Linked DNA regions of Kluyveromyces lactis. The protein of the gene in region 3 interacts with the protein of the main gene of each other region in a pairwise test. Links are inferred from orthologs where the notes say so. Each region holds a gene or a part of one and is shown on either strand. Other genes may lie near its edges. The genes, in order: CDC24, HOF1, NBA1 and BEM1.

Region 1 (5,171 bases), on a different chromosome or scaffold from region 3:
CATACCAGGAATTCCAAAAAATGAAACTGCATCCTTATTACAAAAAAATCCTTTCTGGAGGTACCTGCATAGGTTATGCAGCTAGAGCTCTAAATGAAGGTGGTCTCCAATCAGTTCCTAAATTGAACTTCCCTGGTGGATGTTTGATCGGTGCTTCAGCAGGTTTCATGAACGTTCCTAAAATCAAAGGTACACATACTGCAATGAAGAGTGGTATGCTAGCAGCAGAAAAGTCCTTCGAAGAGATCATAAAGTTGCCAACCTTGGAAGAATTAGAAGCGAGTGAAACTGAAAAACTTGTCGCACATCCAATTAACCTAGAGTCTTACGAGACCGCATTCAAAGAGTCATGGATATATGAAGAGCTTTATGAAGTGCGTAATATTAGGCCTTCATTCGGAGCAACACCACTAGGGGGTTTCGGTGGTATGGCATACTCAGGTGTTGATTCTTACATACTCAAAGGCAGAGTTCCATGGACGTTCCATCACCATGCATCAGATGCTGCTATAACAGCATCTGCAGATAAATACAAACCCATAGATTATCCAAAACCCGATGGAAAGATTACCTTTGATATCTTAACATCAGTATCAAGAACTGGAACGTATCACGATGATGACGAAAAATGCCATTTAAGAGTCCCTGAGCAAGATATGGAAAAACATACTAGTATTGCGTATCCAAAATGGAAGGGAATCGAATCAAGATTTTGTCCAGCTGGTGTTTATGAGTATGTTGAAGACGAAACCTCCCCATTGGGTGTGAAATTCCAGATTAACTCACAAAATTGTATTCATTGTAAAACCTGTGACATCAAGGTTCCAACTCAGGACATTAATTGGGAAGTTCCTGAGGGAGGTGATGGTCCAAAGTACACACTTACCTGAGTTTGTTAAATTAGTCAGAGTAAAATTTGGCCTGAAATATTTATTTATCTAATATAATTTATTTATTCATATCTGTAAAATATGATTTTCATTAATAACTGAACTTATATTAAATCAACCAAGTGAACCTGTCAAACTGGAATTGTCTTCATTTACCTTTGAAAAACGCCAAAAAGTGAAATCTATGTATAATACAATCAAAGGTAAAATATTATTAATATGTCTCAGTTTGTATAAGCCCAAACGTTCAATAGTCTTTCATTACTCTCTTTCAGCATATCTTTTACAACATACCAATCATCATCACTTTCCAACATCACAAAATCACCATCTTCATCCTGGTATTTTACCTTCGTGATTACTCCTAAATGTGCCAATTTCCTTTTAATCGCAAGCAACAGATCTTCCGCAGAACAGTCTAAGGATACTAAGACTGTGTAAAAATCGTTGTTGAATGAGACCCTCAGTAGAAGCATAGTGTCAGGGATTGAATTTTTGTAACTTTCGGATATAGATCTGTATTCGCTTGCAAATGACTGACGGGCATTGGACATATGGCTTTTGGGAAGGACTTCTGAGATTTGTCTGGTCAGAGTGCTACCAATGGAGGCAACACTGTTGTGAGAATATTGGACTGGTGAGGAGAATGACGACATATCGCTATTCGTATTGACACTTTTATAGGACTCGCTGCGAATTTGACGAAGAAGCTGATGAAGGCAGCTTTCCCAGTTGTTGCGGGTTTCTTCATTTTTGAATTTTAGTATGAAGTTCCCCTTTTCCTTGGCTGATTCCCAAATAATGTTCAGGGAATAGTTATCAATCGGAGCGACTTGAGTCAGGTTAACTATCATAATTCGACCTCTTAAATCCAGTTTCCCAGTGTTCTTCGTGAAATCATTCATGTTAGTGTTCGAAGAGTTTGAAAGATGAAGAACAGATGATGAATTCGATTTCTTTTTTAAACTTATTGAGCTTCCTTTCTTCTGGCTTACCTCACTGAATAATAGTATGATTTTTTCGAATAGATACACTTCAAAATCTTTTTCTGGCTCATTGGAATTGCTCGTTGATATTGATATTCTATCAAAGTACAATAACTCACCAAACTTAGCGATGCGGTAACCCTTCCAATTTACCACACGACCATAGAGACGTTTGACAACCTCGTAATTTTCTGTTCTCCTTTGATTTTCGTTAATATTCCTTGCAATGGATTTGGCAATACCCAAGGCAATCTCCAATTCTTTAGAATCACTTTCTGCGTGTTGTAAAAGATCTTTGAGAAGTAATGGGTATCTACACAATCTTTGGACTGGTTTGAGAAGGAATGATTGCAGTTCCATTTTATTACCGATGACAAAATTAGTGCTATTTGGGTTCATTTTGTTGAAACTAGACGAAATGAAATCAATCGCTGCATTTTGACCTATGGACCAAGGTTCATATAGCTTGAAGAAATATTTGGAATGCATGAATAAGGCCCCGATTCTTTGTTTTTGAGATGGAACTTGACCGTTGACTTCTAATGACACTAAAAACCGTCTTTGGAAATCGATTATGTCATTCAAATTGGGGAACAGCATGTACAGTTCTTCCGAGTTGATAATTTGGTTGTCTAAAAGTTGCTTCCTATACTTATTCAGAACTTCTAGATCATGCACGTACTTTCTCTCAGTCTCGATGAATTCTTTGACAATTTTATCATATTCTGTCTGTGGTTTCGCAAGACGTTGAGATTCCAACTGTGTGCTCATATCAATTTGTGGGAATACTTCAGGTGCAGCATTCAGCAACGTATTCACAACGTCCAAAACTTTCAAGAAATGATCTGTCGAATTTGAAAAAACGTCAGAAATGGTGAACAGTTCTTCGTCATTAAATGCAAAATGTTGTTTCAGACCAAGAATGAAGTCGTAGATAGATTTTTTACAAATCTTAATATCATCTGACGAGACCACCGTTAGCTTAGATTGAGGTCTTACGGCATTGAATATAATACAAAGTGGCGAACCCTGTTGAAATAGTTTAGAAAGTTGCGTTACAGGGTCACAATCGACAGATATAGGCGTAATACCAACAGAAAAAGTCAGTAAAGTGTCCTCCATATTAAAGGACTGAGAATGCTCAGAGTCCTCTCCAAAACTCGTAGCCGAGAAACTAGAGTCCCTATGAAGAGTACTTGAGGAGGAAAGTCTACCATTTGTACTTTGTGCACTACTACCTTCGTAATGCGAACCTCGCTGCCGATGTTGCTGCTGTGACTGCTGTTTCTGCGATAAAAGCAGGGCTTGGTGTTCTGCTAGAATCTCTGAACTCGAATGCGCTAAATTCAAATATGGTTGGAGCTGTGGCAGAAACTCTAATCTCTTCTTGATCATTAAACACATATGATATAATGACTCCTGTGCTGTCACCTTTTTGTTCATTAATAAATGTGTGCTATTTGAACGCACACTCGTCAGCGAAACATTGGATACTGATGGATTTACCGCCATTATGGCAGGCTGCAACTAAAACAGAATTATTCTCTGACACTCCTAGATAGTAAAAACCTTGTTTGTACAGCTCTGGAAGACTTACAACGATAAGAATTATTTTAACTTCACTTCGAAGACACTGGCTGTTTCGTTAATTTCAGTATTGTTTTATTCTATTCTTTTTTTTTTTTTCTTTCAAGAGTAATGTCAATACTGAGATCTCTGGGTCAAAACCTTTGGGGCCCGAAAACATTGTTGTGGATCAAATTCTGGAGGTTCTTTTTATATAGGAGATACTTCTCAGTGGTATTTAAGAGTATAACACCAATTAGCGGCACTTGCCAGGTGTCGTGTAATAATCCTACATATCTGGCATTGAATATTGATATACGCTAGAGTTTCGTTCTATAACTGGAAAATAAGAATTACAAGTGTCAAACTCACACATAACTTCTATATATGTACTTTTATAGAACAGTAGTACAATTTCTCTTTCTATCTATCTTTGCTTAAGAGCTCTTCTTACCCCAAATAGATTTTTGTGCTCTGTATGTGATTTTGTCAATGACAGTACCAACTGCCAAGACACCACCAATACTTGTGATACAATTCAAAAGGAAACCAGACCATGATGTTGCATGCTGTTCTTTATTTATGACTTTTAAAGGCGACATCTCAAAATTGAAGAAAACACCTGGGACACCTCCTTTAGAATGAACAGTGTTTGGATGGTCTTCGTCCCTGCCCCCTCTTAGAGGCCTATCGTGGTACGTGGCGCTGAATTGAGTAGTTTCAACTTTTTTACCATCTAAGAATTCGAATCTGGTAGGAATGATCTTGCAGAAGTATGAGAACTCATGGAAGTGTGTGTCGCGGTCTGGGAACACTTGGCGGCTGTCTAATGGTGAAATTGAAGCAGAACCGATCAATTCGCTGTCTCCATCCTTGGGTTTCTCTCCAAACGTCAAGGTGTTGATTATATGGTTGAAGTTCAAATGTGGGTATGCATCGTATAGCGAAGTGTCGTGGAAATGGCCACGGATATTACGCATTGAACTACCTGGACCGAAGTGGATGGTACCTTGTATTCTGTTTAATTGAGCACGTCCTTGAACACGACAACCTTCATGTATTCTGGCATTGATGCTCTCAACATATCCTTCACGTTCACATTGTTCCACACCTTTACCATCCTTGAATGCCCATCCTTTTTGTCCGTAGGCTGCACGCACATCGTCACAAGTTTGACAGCATACTTTTTGATCTTGTGGTAGCTCGTCATTCTTTGATTGGTCTAATGCACCATAACATGGTCCACAGTATCCTTCTTCGTTGAAGCTTTGCTTTGATGATTTGTCACCAACTTGGAACTTCTCCTTAGAGAGTTCCTTCCCTTCTGGGCTAATTCTGATCTTCGTGAATCCCGAATCTAATAGGTTAATCTGAAATTCCCCAGAATCGTCTAATATATCTAGATTTAATACGTTACATGGCATCGAAGGAAATGTCACATCCAAGTTGAGATCCAACTTCAAATGACGGTCTCTATCAACCACGAGATCAGGTCTAGTGACAATAGTGCTGAATTGCTTCCATTCGCTCACCAATAACAACATCGTTATAATGATACATGACACCGTGATTAATCCACCTGTTCGTGTACGGACACGGACATCCTCCTCTGTTTTACCAAAAGCATCGATGGAAAGTAACGGCGATTTCTTCATCTTGACAAATTTGTGTAGACAGATACTTGCGTTAGCGAATTCTCCGTGAGTAGTGTAGTATTTCCGTATCCTAA
Region 2 (4,673 bases), on a different chromosome or scaffold from region 3:
CGCACATACGAAGTAACTGTCTTGTCTTAATGGTGCCATTTTTGCTAAATGGTTTCTAACAATACAACAAAGTGCTCGATTTATCGTAACAATACGAGTTACAGTTGCTAGGTCAATGACGAGACTTTTCCTATCCAAGTAGCTAATTCAAAGTATAAACTTGTTTATCTTCTATTACTTTTTGAATTTTTCAAATAATGAAAACAGTTATCTAGCTAACATTAGCCTACTCAATGATGAATATGACACGCGAAACATTGAAATTAGTTCTATGACACGCAAAAGACCATACGGAAAAGAGATTGATACATAATGGAACAGTCTATCAGGAGCATAGACGGTTCTAGATCTTTGAGCAATGTTGGCGCTTCACTTATAGATCGTGAATCGATCAATCAGAGAGCACTACAATTATTACAGAGAAACAGAAGAAGACGTTTGTTGTTAAATAGAAGTGAAGACAAAGCAAGATACATCCAGCCCGAGCGTTCTGCTAGCAGCCAGCAGATTCACCCTCCAGAGCATCATATCAGCGCACATGAAAGAATAACAAAGGCTCGGGGAACTAGATATAAACCTACTGACCTAGCTTTGGCAGAAATAAGGAAATATCAAAGATCCACAGATTTGCTTATATCCAGAATGCCCTTTGCGAGGCTAGTGAAAGAGGTAACAGATCAATTCACTACCGAGAGCGAACCTCTTCGATGGCAATCCATGGCAATTATGGCTCTTCAAGAAGCAAGTGAAGCCTACTTAGTCGGTTTATTAGAGCATACAAATCTATTGGCACTTCATGCTAAAAGAATTACAATTATGAGAAAGGACATGCAACTAGCTAGAAGGATACGAGGTCAATTTATTTGAAGCAATCCTTCCTATCATTTAAAGTACAGATTTATCTGCTCAGCTTCAATTTGCTAATAGTTTGATGTCTATTGGAAGAGCAGAAATTATATATAAGTATAGAACTTTATATTGGTTACATATGGTTACAAATTCATTATTTAACGGGTGAAAATGGTCAGAAAGGAAAGCGTCCAAGGTGAAAGTGATGTACATCAATTTATTACTTTCACGTAATTCATTGGTACCAGACCATGCTGTTTGTTACCTTGATATACCTCACCCACATACCAGTCATCATTTATGCATTCGACTAACAGCAGGATATCACCAGAATTGAAAAGTAGTATGTTATTTTCATTGGGTTCAGTGTACGAATACATCGCTTTGACATATTTTACGACTGGATTTTTCATGGAATCAACGATGGGTAGATTCAATTGTTCACCATCAATAGTCACACGTTTACAACGCATTATATTCAAAGAGTTGCTGAAAGGCAACACTGTTCTGCTCACAGTTAAGTTGCTAGAAGCACCAGAGCTCGTTCTTGATGTCATCGGACGATCATTCATTTCCAAGATTTCTAATGCTGTTTCGACATCCGATGCGATGGATTTTCTACGATTTGCAGTTGGTGGCTTCAGAGAGTTGTTATTGTCGTTGTCAGAAGTATCCGTATCCATTGTGGGCGAATACATTGATGAAGGTCTAGATTTTCTTCTATTGCGTGAATTCCAAGATTTAGCAAACCTTTGAGAGTCATCGACACTTGAGGCCATGGATGAGAGAGAAGTCGACATGGAATCATAACTTGCCTTATTTTTCCTATGAGTAAAGTCCGTTGGATTTGAAGAAGTCTCTTCTGAAGATTCTGATAATGTTGCTCCATGTCCTGGCTTTGTAACCACTTCTAAATAGTTTTCAACGGAATGCGGAGCAGAGTTATCATTTAGGACCTTCGATTCTATGGAATTAACAAGGGCAGCATCAGTTTTTGGAGTTGGCAACCCTTTATCGACACTTAATGCATTTATTGAATTGAGCCTGGTGTTCTTCAGCTGGGTTGATAGTCTTTTTATATTTTGAACATACCTATCATTCTTTGTTAAATCCAACGCCTTGTGAGAACTCTTCGGACGGATCACATTAGATGGGTTAGAGTTAGCACTTGAGTTGTGCGTTGAAACTGAGTTAGAGTTTTTCAACTTGATTCTTCCAGTACCATGGTGGTAAGAAAAGTGCGATATTTCAAGTTCAGGTGTGAAGCTGGAAAGTTTTTGTTTTAATTGTTCCATCAAAGAGAGTTCCAGTTCCGAAGGCTGGGTTGTAAAATCAGCGTATTGTTGTAGTAATTCCCTAGAGACCTGGATTCTTTGTGTTTCTAAACTTTGCAATTCTCCACTAATATGTCTCCATTCCTCAAACCAATGTGCTCTAGCAGCTTTACATTCATGATGTAAGACGGTTTTCCTACGGTGTGATTCTTCCACTATCGAAGACCATTTTTCCAATTCTCTCGCATTTTCTTTCCTTTGGTATTCGCCCAAGGCAGTTTCTTTGTTGAGCTGATACTCTCTCAGTTTATTCTCAGCACTGAGTAATTCTTGATCTATAGATTTCAAGGCTTTCTTCTTTTCATCTTTCAACTTCCTTAAGTTTTCCACGTTTCCCGTTATCGTTGACCATCTGGCTCTATATTGCTTTAAGAAATCACTCATCGTACCGACATTTTCCCTGTTGAGCCTCTCATATGCCTTAGAATGACCATTGGCTATTGTCTGCTGGGAGGATTGGAAATATTTTAAGGATTCAGACATATTATTGTAGTCCGCATATCGTTCGAGATTGTTCATTATTCTTGCACTGAGTGCTCCTAATCTTCTTGCATAATCCATCTCCAACTCACTTCTCTTAGTGAAACAATCGAGCAATAACTCACAGGTGCATATACCTCTTCCAACATGCTGAAGAAGAACGGTAACACCTTGATCGTCTTCGTCCCAGAAACTTTCTTGATAGTTGTATATTTGAGTCATTCAATCGATAGCTTTCCTTGCTAATACCTACTCTTTGTTATGCCCTCAACTTCCCTTCAATTGTAGATTGTTGAATGACAAAACAGATACCGTACATCTAACTTCAATCCTTGTGAATTGTTAACATACACCGAACAAAGTTTGGTGAGAGAGCCAGAACCATCCATCTCTACAACTGAATACAATCACTGTGATAGTGCTGTTCGATGATGTTTACATTATTCCTGATTGGGGAATAAGTTCAATCACGTGACTTATATTTTTGTTTGTTTATTGCAAAGCAAGTAATAATACCAAAAAGGGAAATTATGCTTAATTCTGTACCTCTATCATTTTTGTCTGTACCGGCCGTACAAGAACATGAAAAGAGAAAGCGAGGATAAATAGGAGAGCCTAAAATCCCCATAATCTCTGACGATTACCCTGGTATATGGACAGCACCGTCTAATGACTTGAGAGTCCAATTAAATTCCTGAATTAACCCATCGCAAAACTCTCTATGTCTCCTTTGTGATATGCTTTAGCTCCGCACGGGATTGCAATGAAATAATTAGCAAAAACGTCGTGAGTATTTTCTTCCTGCTAAGAACCATCAAAGAAGGTTCACAGAAAACAACGTACAAACTGTATATCAGGGTAACCAGCCGAGTTTTCCCCTGTTTTCATTACGACATTGTTCCCAAATTGAGACTATTTCTCTGCAACACAGTACATACAATGATACAATTCGTAATAGCAATCGTCCCCTTAAAAACGGCAAACAAAGATGACAACCAAGGCACCAGCTCAACAGCAAGGGTTCCAACTACACTGAGGGTATAAGTTTCTGCGGTACCTCAGCTTGGTTCCTTCCTTTTTTATTCTCAATTATTCTGGCCAGTTTTTTTTCGCCAGGAGTCCCTAAAAAGTCACTCTAGCCAATTTTTTTTTCTTTTAAGTTTATTTACTTTGCAATATCAAGAAATTATATATCCTTAATTATAGGGTTTCTAATCAACAATTCACTTTAGCATATATTCGCTTCGTTGCTTTATTATAAAACAAACGTGAATTCAAGTGTATTTCGTTCGTAATTACAAGTAAAGGTTTATCATAGTTACGTTTACTCCCACTAGAAAGAAGAGTTAATACTAAACTTCTCAAAAAACGGGCAAAGGATAAGCAAATTACTGATATCGAAATCAGAACGTGAACCAAGTCCTATTGTGTTTTACAAATTTGAGAGGAACATAAACCAAAAAACTACACTACTTGGTCGCTCAATTGTACGAGTCTAAGGAACACTTTCGCTTTTTACTTTGAATTATTAGTAGCTAAGAAAATACCCAGATATATTACCAGAAACAGAATGTCTTTAGTTTCTGCGGTAACTGGCGACGAATCCAGGGATACTAATGGTGCAGAACAAAGTTCTGTTTACCAGAGTGCCGGTAAACCATTATCCAAGGAGGCTCTATACAGAGCAAAATTGAAGTACGGTGTGTTCCAGTCTCCAGCTCAGTCTCTGAAGGCCGGCGTGGTTAATGGTAAGGATGCTTCAGATACTGCTGCCAATTTGGCAACGAGCAACAAGACCACCATCGAAGCCTACAAAAGGTTATTGAATCCAAATGCTTCGAAGGCAGCTAATGCGGTCATTACTCCAAAGAAAACTGACCAATCCAGACCAGCCAGTGCTGTAGTTTCGTCTGCTGCGTCTTCTGCTGCAATTGCTGCTCCCAAGGCTGCTAGGTCTAGGACCTCTAGTACAGCAAGTACTACTGTAACCTATGTCAATTCCAGTTCTTC
Region 3 (4,467 bases):
GGATGGTTCCTCGCAAGATCTCTTGTGGATCACTTCGATGAACCTTTTCGTTTGAACCTCCATCTTGGGATCCCTTTGCAAGTATTGGTCCAAGTAATGCATGCAAGTGTCCAACAACTCTTTATCTGTGGTCACAGTCTTCTTTAAATGATTCAAATGTGGGGCTAGTGCGTGTTCCAATGCTACTCTCAACTTCTCTTTTTCTGCCACTAGTTGAATGGCTTTCTCTATGCCGGATAATCGCACATTTTGATAACTGGTCGCCGATATTGGTAAATCTCTTATATCATGATCACTAAGCCTGAAACTGGAATGGGGTAGCGGTGTCTGGCTATCAGAATCTTTATCCGTCTCCATTATCCCTGTCCATGATGGTGATTTATCAGAGAAGACGATCTGTTTATTGAAAAACACTGGATTCAATAACCTGTTCATCGCCTCTTTATCCGGGTTCTTTTTCTGTTTGATCTCTTCTATCACCTCAGAAATGGTATTATGTTCTTCAATAGCATCTGCGGTGCTGCTGACATGCTTCTGCCCCAGTTTACAGCTCTGTGAAAGTAGTCTTCTTGTGGCTCTTGTTGTTACATTATGGAGATGAGCTTTAAATAAAAGAGATGAGTTCATTCTGGCAGCATTCAACATATCGTAAACCACCTCTGTCCTTAGATTGGCTCCTTATACAAGCTTAAACGACTGGTATCAACACTGTGAGAGACAATAGATTGAACCGTAGGCATCTTTTGCAACGTCTTTTATTAATCAAAGCCAGTGTTTCCTTCTTTGATTTAAGAATTTTTCTTTCAATACTTATTACATTTGGTATATATTGATTCTTTACTGATAACGTTAATACAAAACTGAGAAGAGAAAAAGCACAAAAAATTCGTATCAAAACCCATCAAGGGCTTTAGTAGCTCTTTCAAGTCTTCTTAAACCTTCTTGGTACTTTTCTGGATCCAGAACCATATCTGCAGTCAATCTAGAGAGAGAATCGACCAATCTTTCAAGAGCTCTTTTCTCTTCGATCTTCATACCAAGGTTAGAGAATTCTGACCCTATCAGGGTTCCCTTTGTAACATTCAATAGTTGTGAGATAGTATCTATATCGAAGGATCTTAGTTCTTTGTTGTGTTTGGATCCGATTTTTTTGGTTTGATTGTGGCTTTGGTTTTGGCCTTGACGTTGGTGAGATTTGGATCTGGTCTTCGAATGGCCTTTCTTGGGAGCCTTTGGCAGCTTACTTTGTGGAGTCCTTACTGATGAGGCAGCTTTAGTGGAATCAGCACCTTTCTCTACTATGTCCTCGTAATCATCATCATCTTCTGGATCTTTTACATTGCACACTGCCTGGTCATTCGGTTGTTGTGTGATTTGGTTCTCTGGGGTCTCCAATCTTGACGATGATGAGCTTGGAATAGAAGGTAGTGGCCTAGTAGTGTATCCATCCTCCTGTGGTCCCATGGTATCATCTTGCTCAGTAGCAGAGAAGAAACTTTCAGATCTCACACTGCTTTGTCTTGAATGTCTCTCACTCCGGCTTGCACTGGCACTGTGACCTTTCCCCATCTCCTTTGCAAGTTGATTCTGAATATCATCTAAACTTTCCTTGATAAATATATGTGACTTGGGCCTTCTTGCGCTTCTTGGTGGTACTGTTGGATGTAAGTCTGATATGATTTCAAGTTCTGGTTCAGCACCAGCGGTCTTCTTACTGTTAACTTGAGTTTCTAGTGGTGGTAATATACTCGAAGCAATTGATTTGATTTCGGATACCTGAGATATATCTTGCTGGCTTGGAGCCTGTGATATGTTTAGTGGTGTAGTGTCCGAAATTGCTTCTGTGACATTGACCTTGGGGATGTTATTATAATCAGAAACTGGAGTTTGTTGTTGCTCATCGTACGATTCCTCTTTAATTGTCGTCGTTTCAAGTTGAGATAGATGTTGACAGTCACCACTGTTACCAGTAGCACCATATTGCGAGGTATGGTCCAAATTTACCATGCTGGATCCCGAATTACTTGTGGCAGATGCGTTATAGGAATGTCCACTTTCGCTTGCTAGATTACCTGATGCGATTGATGAAGGGACCTTCTGATGGGACATCTCCATAGATACAAGTTTTAATGAGTTGTTTTTCTCTAAAGTAGGAGTCGTATCTGTTTCAGCTGGTTGCCCAATCTGTTCTTTCTTTAACGAAACCTGAGGTTCTTCCGTATCAATAGAGTTTCCTACTGGTTTTGTTGTTAATTCAGACAATGCATCTGCTGATGCAGCTGACCATTCGCTCTTAGTAGGGAAGGGCGGTAAAGCTGGCTCTTCAAAATTCTCCTTCTTCACAGCGGTAGTACTGTTATTTTTGACTATATAGGAGACTGGAACACCTTCATGGACAGTGCCTGAATAAGCCGATATTATGCTTTCTCTGTTTCCTGGCGATTGACCGTTTAATTGTAAACGATTCCCATCTGGAGAAGGCTGAGGGGACCCATACGTATTGAAGAATGCCACATTTTGATCGTTAGATGTATATGACAATTGTGGAGATGCCCTTTCAGCAGAATCTATTCCCTTGCTTGGCATATATATTTCATCATCCAAACTCTCATGTAAGCTGTAATTCTCGATCATAGCAGAAAGTCTGTTGTAATTAGGGTTGTTGCTAGCGCTTGGTGGCCTAACTGCACTCTCCAATGGCTCTTTACTCATTGTATTTGTCCAAGATAGTGCTTCTGGTTGTAGTATTTCCCTTCTTTCCAGATCAACTGTTATTGATACCTGGGATAGTATCCTCTAAAATAGACTTGTTTCCAAAGAATTCCCTCAACAACAAGCAATTTCAAAAATAAATGTATCTACCTCAATAAGTAGATGGTTGTTAGTTGCTACAATTACTATACTGGGTTGACAAACCTCTAACCTGCGTTTAGATCAAAGATTCTTACAGTCAGTAAGGTGTTGATGTTTTGATTTCACTGTTGATCTGAATTCCAGATCAGGAAAGATAGTAAACACTTAGTATTTGAAGGTCAGGTGACAAGAATTGAAGAAAATGGAAGTAGACAATAAATAGGTGTTTACATTAGTACCGCACCTTGATGCGCGTGTGTATACAATGATATAAATGCATACGTATTAAATAGTGTTTCGAACTTAGTTCATAATGTACATTAGTTGCTCTTAGGGCCAATTCGTTTCAATTCATCTTGGAACTTTCTGTAAACATTAAAATCGAACTTGGCAAAGTTGTAATCGAGGTCTATGAAAACTTTTGATATTTGACAGCTCTTGTAGTAGTAATTGAGGAAATTACTGGAGTATGGGTCCACTGATGGACCATAGAATTCTATCGGAACTGGTTCATGGCTGTAATGATTATTTTTGAAATTTTTGTAGAAGGTTGTGAACAAACCAGTGACGATGGGTGTATCATCCTCTACGTCGGAATGCTTTTTGGGTCCGCCAAAAGAGCTTGAGTTATTGTTGCTGTCGTTGTTACTGTTTGTTTCATGGTTCTTGAAATGCGATGGGAATAACCCTTGGAACATTTCAAATGCTGCCAAGGTGAAACCGAACTGTGGGGAACTTCTCAACACACGAGCCGGTCCACCTTTGAAAAATGATTTGATGCTTTCCTCTTTCAAGATCGTTCTTGCTGCATGGATTACACCTGTATACGTTGTTTCTCCCTTCCTGGGATCGATTTGTAATCTGGTCTTAATCACATCAAAAGGAGTGGTCAAATAAGCTGCTGGCATACCTGCGATCCCACCAGCCAAGAGGAGTTCCCAGGTTTTGAGTTTGTTTCTCTTGTTTTTATCATTTGGATCAAAATTAAATACATCCTTCTTTAAATGAGCATATGTTGGGAAATATATGGCGGAGAATGGGACGTCTCTCAGTAAGCATGCTGCGGCACCTTTGTAGAGACCGCGAAGGCCCAATTGCCTTATAATTCCTACTGCACCTAATTGTGGCCTTGCATTTTCACCGACGTAATCTGATCTCATTTGTAATCTGATCTTTACGATTTCCAATGGATTTGTAAACACAACTTGGCAAGCACCAGCGGTGGCGCCTGAAAGGATTTCTTGGTACCATTTAATCGTACGAGACTTGTTCATGAAATACTGTCTCATGAAATCGTTCACTGTCAATTTGATAGCTTTTTCGGGGGCTACACCGATTAACTGTGGGCCTAGACCAGAGTAAAGACCTCTAATACCCTTAGTTTGGAAGATTTTCACAACACAATCAATGGAGTTTTTGTACTGTACACTGTTACGTTGCGCTTGCATTCTTGTCTTTACCAGGTCAATAGGGTACACGACAGTGGCGCCGATGCACCCAGCTATGGAGCCTAACGTAAAGTTATGAATCGAATCAAAGATCGGGTAGAAATAGAAGTTAGAGTACCATGATTCCGATCTAATTCTCTTCAACTCCATGGAATGCACAATATCG
Region 4 (4,801 bases), about 890 kb from region 3:
ATACATATCTCTTAGAAGAAACAAAAGAAAAAAAGCATATTAAAGGCAATATTGAAGGCTCGATCAAGAGATATCTAACAAGAAAAAGATAACCAGTACCTGTAGTATCAGCTTCATCTACGAAACTTTCTTAACGGGTGAATTTACAAACATTTCTAATGATCTTCATTTTAAGCTTCCAGAAAGTTCTCGGTTGGCCATAAGATAAATTAGGACAAACGAAACAACACCTACAAAAGTAGCAGCGAACAGATCATCTGCTTAGAATAGTTCACTGCGAATGAGCAAGGTATTAGCTATACAATGTCATCAGGCTTCAAGATGAAGAGGTCAAGGAGTCCTGACCCGATAGGAATCGATAACTATAAGAAACAACGGCTAATATATGATTTCGAAAACCTATCGTTGGCTCCTAGGGGAACCGATGGGATAAAGAAACATAAAATTGATTCAGGGTTGAACTCATTCAAAGCAGTTGTAAATAAAAGGATGTGGGATGTAGTTGAACGCGAATTGAGTGGTTCAAACAAAAATGATAAGATATATGAAAGAATATTCGATCATGTACGACAGTTTAACTCGCAGGTAATAAAATGGTATGACTGGCGATCTGTGGTAGCAAGCTTGTGGGTAAAATGGTACCAACAGCATAGTCCAAAATTAGATGAAGTAGATATGAATGTTGAGACTGCAGCAGATTCCAGAGTTGATCTGGCACCGAATCTCATGCATAGAAATGATGAGTTTGATCACAATGCGGACATGGACATTGACATGGATCTCGATACAGATCCGTACGCGGATGCAGACATGGACATAGAGCTGGATGAATAGTCCTTAGACATGTTTGTGAAGTATTATTATCATTTTGATAGAAGTATTAACACCTATAGAGAGAGTATGTAAACAACTGATTTTTACTTGTTGAACTGAATTAATGTGAAAGAATATAAGAGTGTTAATGTCAAAATTATGTTGAAGTATTACAATGCGATGTACAGTACATCATTATGATAAGCATGAAAGCCATCAGTGGATAGAAATTGAATTTTGACCACCTTGGGGTTCTTTTTGTATTATTTATTATGACGATAAAATTTTGCAACAAATAACTTAGCTGTCATCGACAAAGATCTTGCGTTTCTCTTGAATTAGAACCGGTACTTCTGCATCAGTAGTGACTTGAGTGCCAATATCATCTCCGTTTTTGATGTACAACTTAAAAGAATCTGCGTCAATTCTAGGTGCTATTTTACTGCACAATTCTTCAAAAGTAATGGTAGGATGCAGCATCAAGGCGAATATGTCATCTTTGTAATAAAATTTGATCTTGACAGGCTTTTCATCAGTTATTCTCGGAGCGAAACCACTAGGCGGCCTTGATTTGACTTTAGCACTGGCATTGGAAGCGCTATTAATCAGAGACAGTCTCTTCATTGCCTCTGGAAGTTGTAGTTCTTGGTTAGTCAGAGTTGAATCATCAGCCCTACCTTTTACGTCAAGCTCCACAGTTTCATCATTACTAATCTCACGGTCAAAACCATTATTTTTAACGGCAAACAAACCCTTGACCAGATGTGATTGTGATATATGCGGCGGTAGGGAAATCAAATCCTTCACGTATATATTTAGGTCATCTTTTCTCTTTTTTGAAATGGTATCTGTCACATACGGAACTGGACCCGGTATATATGGCATTATACGTTTCGTCCACTGACCATTAGTGTCTCTTAGTTTACCCCCTTCTGCAGGGAAGATATCGAGTAGCTTTACTTGTAAATCATAGAAATCTTCATAATAACGCTTCAAAATACGCGTGGTGTTGTTGGATAACTGACACGAGACTTGGAACCAATACTTATCGTCCTGTAGGAAAAATGTCTCGACTGCAGCGTAGGTAAGGAAAACGGCATCAGCAGGATAGGTTGTATTGGCAGCGCTCGAGTGCTGCGTGCTGGGGTGTGGTTGACGGTTTTGTGAATTTTGCCTGGATTGTGATCGGTGTTGCACGTACGACTGACCCTGCTGTTCCACTGAACCTAGTGTGATATTGCTAGCCTTGTAACGGGCGATATTGATCTTCCATTCTTGGACCGAGGGTAGATTCACTGATTCGATATCGCTTTTTACATCATTTCCCGTGGCATAACCAGTAGCTATATCTATAATAGTCACAAAACCAACAGGAACTAGACCGGGACCACCCAACCTGCCAATGGGCTTAGCGATAAACCATTCAAAATCGTGATGAGCACAAATGAACAAGTTTTCTCCGGCATAGGCTGTTAACTCATCTGCCTTTTCTGCTTGAAAATCATACAGTACAATTGCATAAAGAGTTCCCATATTGGAAGGTTGTTGTTGCTGCTGTTGCTGCTGTTGCTGCTGATGATGCTGTAATAACTGATTACTACCGACAGATCCATTTCTATTTATACTTTTCACCGGTGATGCATGCGAATTTGGCCTTGTTCTGCCAAAAATCTCGAAATAATTCTTAGGAACCATGCCTCTCTTGCCGTCCGCCGGATTGGAGGCCTCATACCAATCGTTCTCCTCTTGCTGAACATGGAAAAAGTCTCCCTTATTGAATGATAATTCACCGGCTGATTGTGCCTGGTAATTGTATAACGCTTTGATTACTTTTTCTGGAGACGAGATATCTTTTGATTTTCCACTTGTAAACCCCGAAGATAGCTGTGATGATGTAGATAATTGCCTGATAGGAATGGTCTTTACGTTTTGCACTGAGCTCCCTGGACTTTGAGTAGGTCCGGAAATATCCGCAGAAGTTATGCGCTGTTTCACACTGTCTTTCTTCAATTTGAAATTCTATTCCAAAAATTTCCAGAAATTAGATAATTGGTTCAATTTAATCACCAACCAATGATCATAGTATATGTTAGTATTTTGCCTTCACGTTGCAATATTCATGTGGTTACCTTCTTTCAGTAAAGAAAAATTTTCCAGCCTCTAACAAAGTCAGAAATCCTCCGCTACTACGTCAAAATTGCCAAACATAAGACAATACCACGCGCATTATTACATACCTTCAACATTTTCCCACTATTGACTGCCTTTGCCTTTGTGTTGCAGCTTTCGTCTATCAACTCTGTTATTATGAATTCCTGAAACTCGTCTCTTTATTCATGTCAATCCTTTTTCATCTCGCTTCATCAACCCGCAGAAGGAAAGGAAGAATTTCATTCTAGAAGGGTTTTAGAGGTCACATGATCTGAAATTTAAAGATCGTACAGTATATGTATATAAGGTTAACGTAAAAGTGCTAAAACTAATTAATCGAGTAATACATGGCCTGTGGTCATCATAAATCGATGAGTTAATTGACAAAGGATGAATGATTCGGAGCGGTGAGGTGCCGCTTGTGCAATTTAGTAAAATATGTCTATGTTTCTATTTTTTCTTATTCTTTTGGTTGTTGTTATGTTGGTTCCAGTATTTGCTTACTGACCAGGTTAGACTACTGGTACCCTCTCATAGTACAACATATAAACGAATTTAGTTTCTGATAAAATATCTGAAGTTTTATATTCTTTAACTTTAGTATCAGATATTCTCCACCATGGGTATTTCACCACACTTTTCAATTTCTTTAATCTTCTTTTCTTTGTCTTCTTGTTGACATTCATTGAAATACCGTCATAATCTGTTTCAGTTTCCACTTCGGTAGCACTTGTATTAGTAACTTGATCTGTACTGTAAGAGTCGATACTAGCATTACTAGATAATATCGAAGCGTTGCGGTCAGTCGTCATAGAAGAGACACTGTTAAATCTTGCGCGGTTTCTATGTTCTGAAGATGATGAAGCCATGGGTGAACTGCTAATTTCAGGTAGTATATTGCTAGTATTGTTATTATCCGGTGCTGCCGAGACAGAACTCTTTCTCGAAAGGAAACCAGTGACTCTTTTCAAAGTGGATGGCGTCCTTGAAACTCCAGAACCACTGTTGTTGTTTTGGCCCTTATTATCTGCGTCGTTAGAGAACTCTGAGCTTCCAATAACGTAATCATCATCAGTAACAATCGCAGAGTTTGGTGAGTCCAGGAAAACAGATCTGAATGGCACGTTAGAGGAGATTGAATCTTCCGAGCCGATTGAACAAGAATCGGATTTGTTAGAGGAGTTCAGAACGGCCTGATTCCAGATTTCAGCTGCAAGTTTATTCGACGCAATACCGAAGTCCACCATTGGTGTCTTGCTAATGACTTGATGTGTATCAATGTCTTTCATAAACTCTGGTTTGTGTCTGAAACATTCATAGTGACCGGTAGAATGAGAACCTTGATGCCTCAACATCGACCTTAACTTATATGAATCCTTTCTGATGCCAACACATTTATTGTTTTCAATAACTTGGCGGTTGACTACCAATTCTTCTTCGAAAGAAACATTGCAGGTGTTCTTTTGATATCCCATCCCGTCGAAAACCGAACGCGACAAGTGAAGAATCAAAACATCTGGCGAATCAACAACCACAGTTTTCTTGACAATGGTGGATTTGATTTCTGACGTCTTGATACCACCTTTCTCGTAAGAGTTAATGTAAGTACTTAAGTTCCTAGCCAAATCATCGTTAATAAATGCTTTGGGCAATAACTCTTCCAACTCCTTCAAAATCTGGTTTTCTTCATCAGAATTGTTTTGGTAATTTCTATTCTTTTCATTTGCGATAATCGCGTTCAACTTACAACATAAACACGAATACCCGCTGATTTGATCTGTTTGATTATCAGAAATCATTTGAGCCAAATCCGCGTTTATTAGCTGTGGTACTGGTA

Evidence for each region.
Region 1: the proteins of NBA1 (region 3) and CDC24 interact in binary tests that used the Saccharomyces cerevisiae proteins (3 or more experiments, as listed by UniProt). The link is inferred for Kluyveromyces lactis from reciprocal best matches to the Saccharomyces cerevisiae genes NBA1 and CDC24.
Region 2: the proteins of NBA1 (region 3) and HOF1 interact in a two-hybrid assay, tested with the Saccharomyces cerevisiae proteins (2 studies listed by BioGRID, with this or other methods). The link is inferred for Kluyveromyces lactis from reciprocal best matches to the Saccharomyces cerevisiae genes NBA1 and HOF1.
Region 4: the proteins of NBA1 (region 3) and BEM1 interact in binary tests that used the Saccharomyces cerevisiae proteins (3 or more experiments, as listed by UniProt). The link is inferred for Kluyveromyces lactis from reciprocal best matches to the Saccharomyces cerevisiae genes NBA1 and BEM1.

What each region holds. Positions count from the first base shown.
Region 1 is NC_006039.1:1,096,848-1,102,018, reverse strand, and holds CDC24 (Rho family guanine nucleotide exchange factor CDC24), read right to left. Parts: upstream 3,389-5,171; coding exon 1,115-3,388; downstream 1-1,114. Other genes in the region: CIR2 (electron-transferring-flavoprotein dehydrogenase), read left to right, coding at 1-890; retrograde cargo receptor ERV46, read right to left, coding at 3,880-5,097. UniProt on the Saccharomyces cerevisiae protein: Promotes the exchange of CDC42-bound GDP by GTP. Controls the polarity of calmodulin, and the calcium regulatory process of bud emergence. CDC24 may be involved in the initial selection and organization of the budding site.
Region 2 is NC_006039.1:1,064,532-1,069,204, forward strand, and holds HOF1 (formin-binding protein HOF1), read right to left. Parts: upstream 2,886-4,673; coding exon 1,062-2,885; downstream 1-1,061. Other genes in the region: ARP9 (Arp9p), read right to left, coding at 10-39; centromeric DNA-binding histone H3-like protein CSE4, read left to right, coding at 313-867; LPX2 (Lpx2p), read left to right, coding at 4,234-4,673. UniProt on the Saccharomyces cerevisiae protein: Throughout most of the cell cycle it forms a double ring that coincides with the septins. After the onset of mitosis, forms a ring-like structure which colocalizes with the medial actin ring. Mediates cytoskeletal rearrangements required for cytokinesis.
Region 3 is NC_006041.1:1,181,633-1,186,099, forward strand, and holds NBA1 (Nba1p), read right to left. Parts: upstream 2,713-4,467; coding exon 892-2,712; downstream 1-891. Other genes in the region: MTF2 (Mtf2p), read right to left, coding at 1-645; AGC1 (citrin), read right to left, coding at 3,174-4,467.
Region 4 is NC_006041.1:2,075,929-2,080,729, forward strand, and holds BEM1 (phosphatidylinositol-3-phosphate-binding protein BEM1), read right to left. Parts: upstream 3,060-4,801; coding exon 3,051-3,059; intron 2,833-3,050; coding exon 1,114-2,832; downstream 1-1,113. Other genes in the region: KLLA0_E23343g (uncharacterized protein), read left to right, coding at 304-834; putative ubiquitin-specific protease UBP16, read right to left, coding at 3,477-4,801.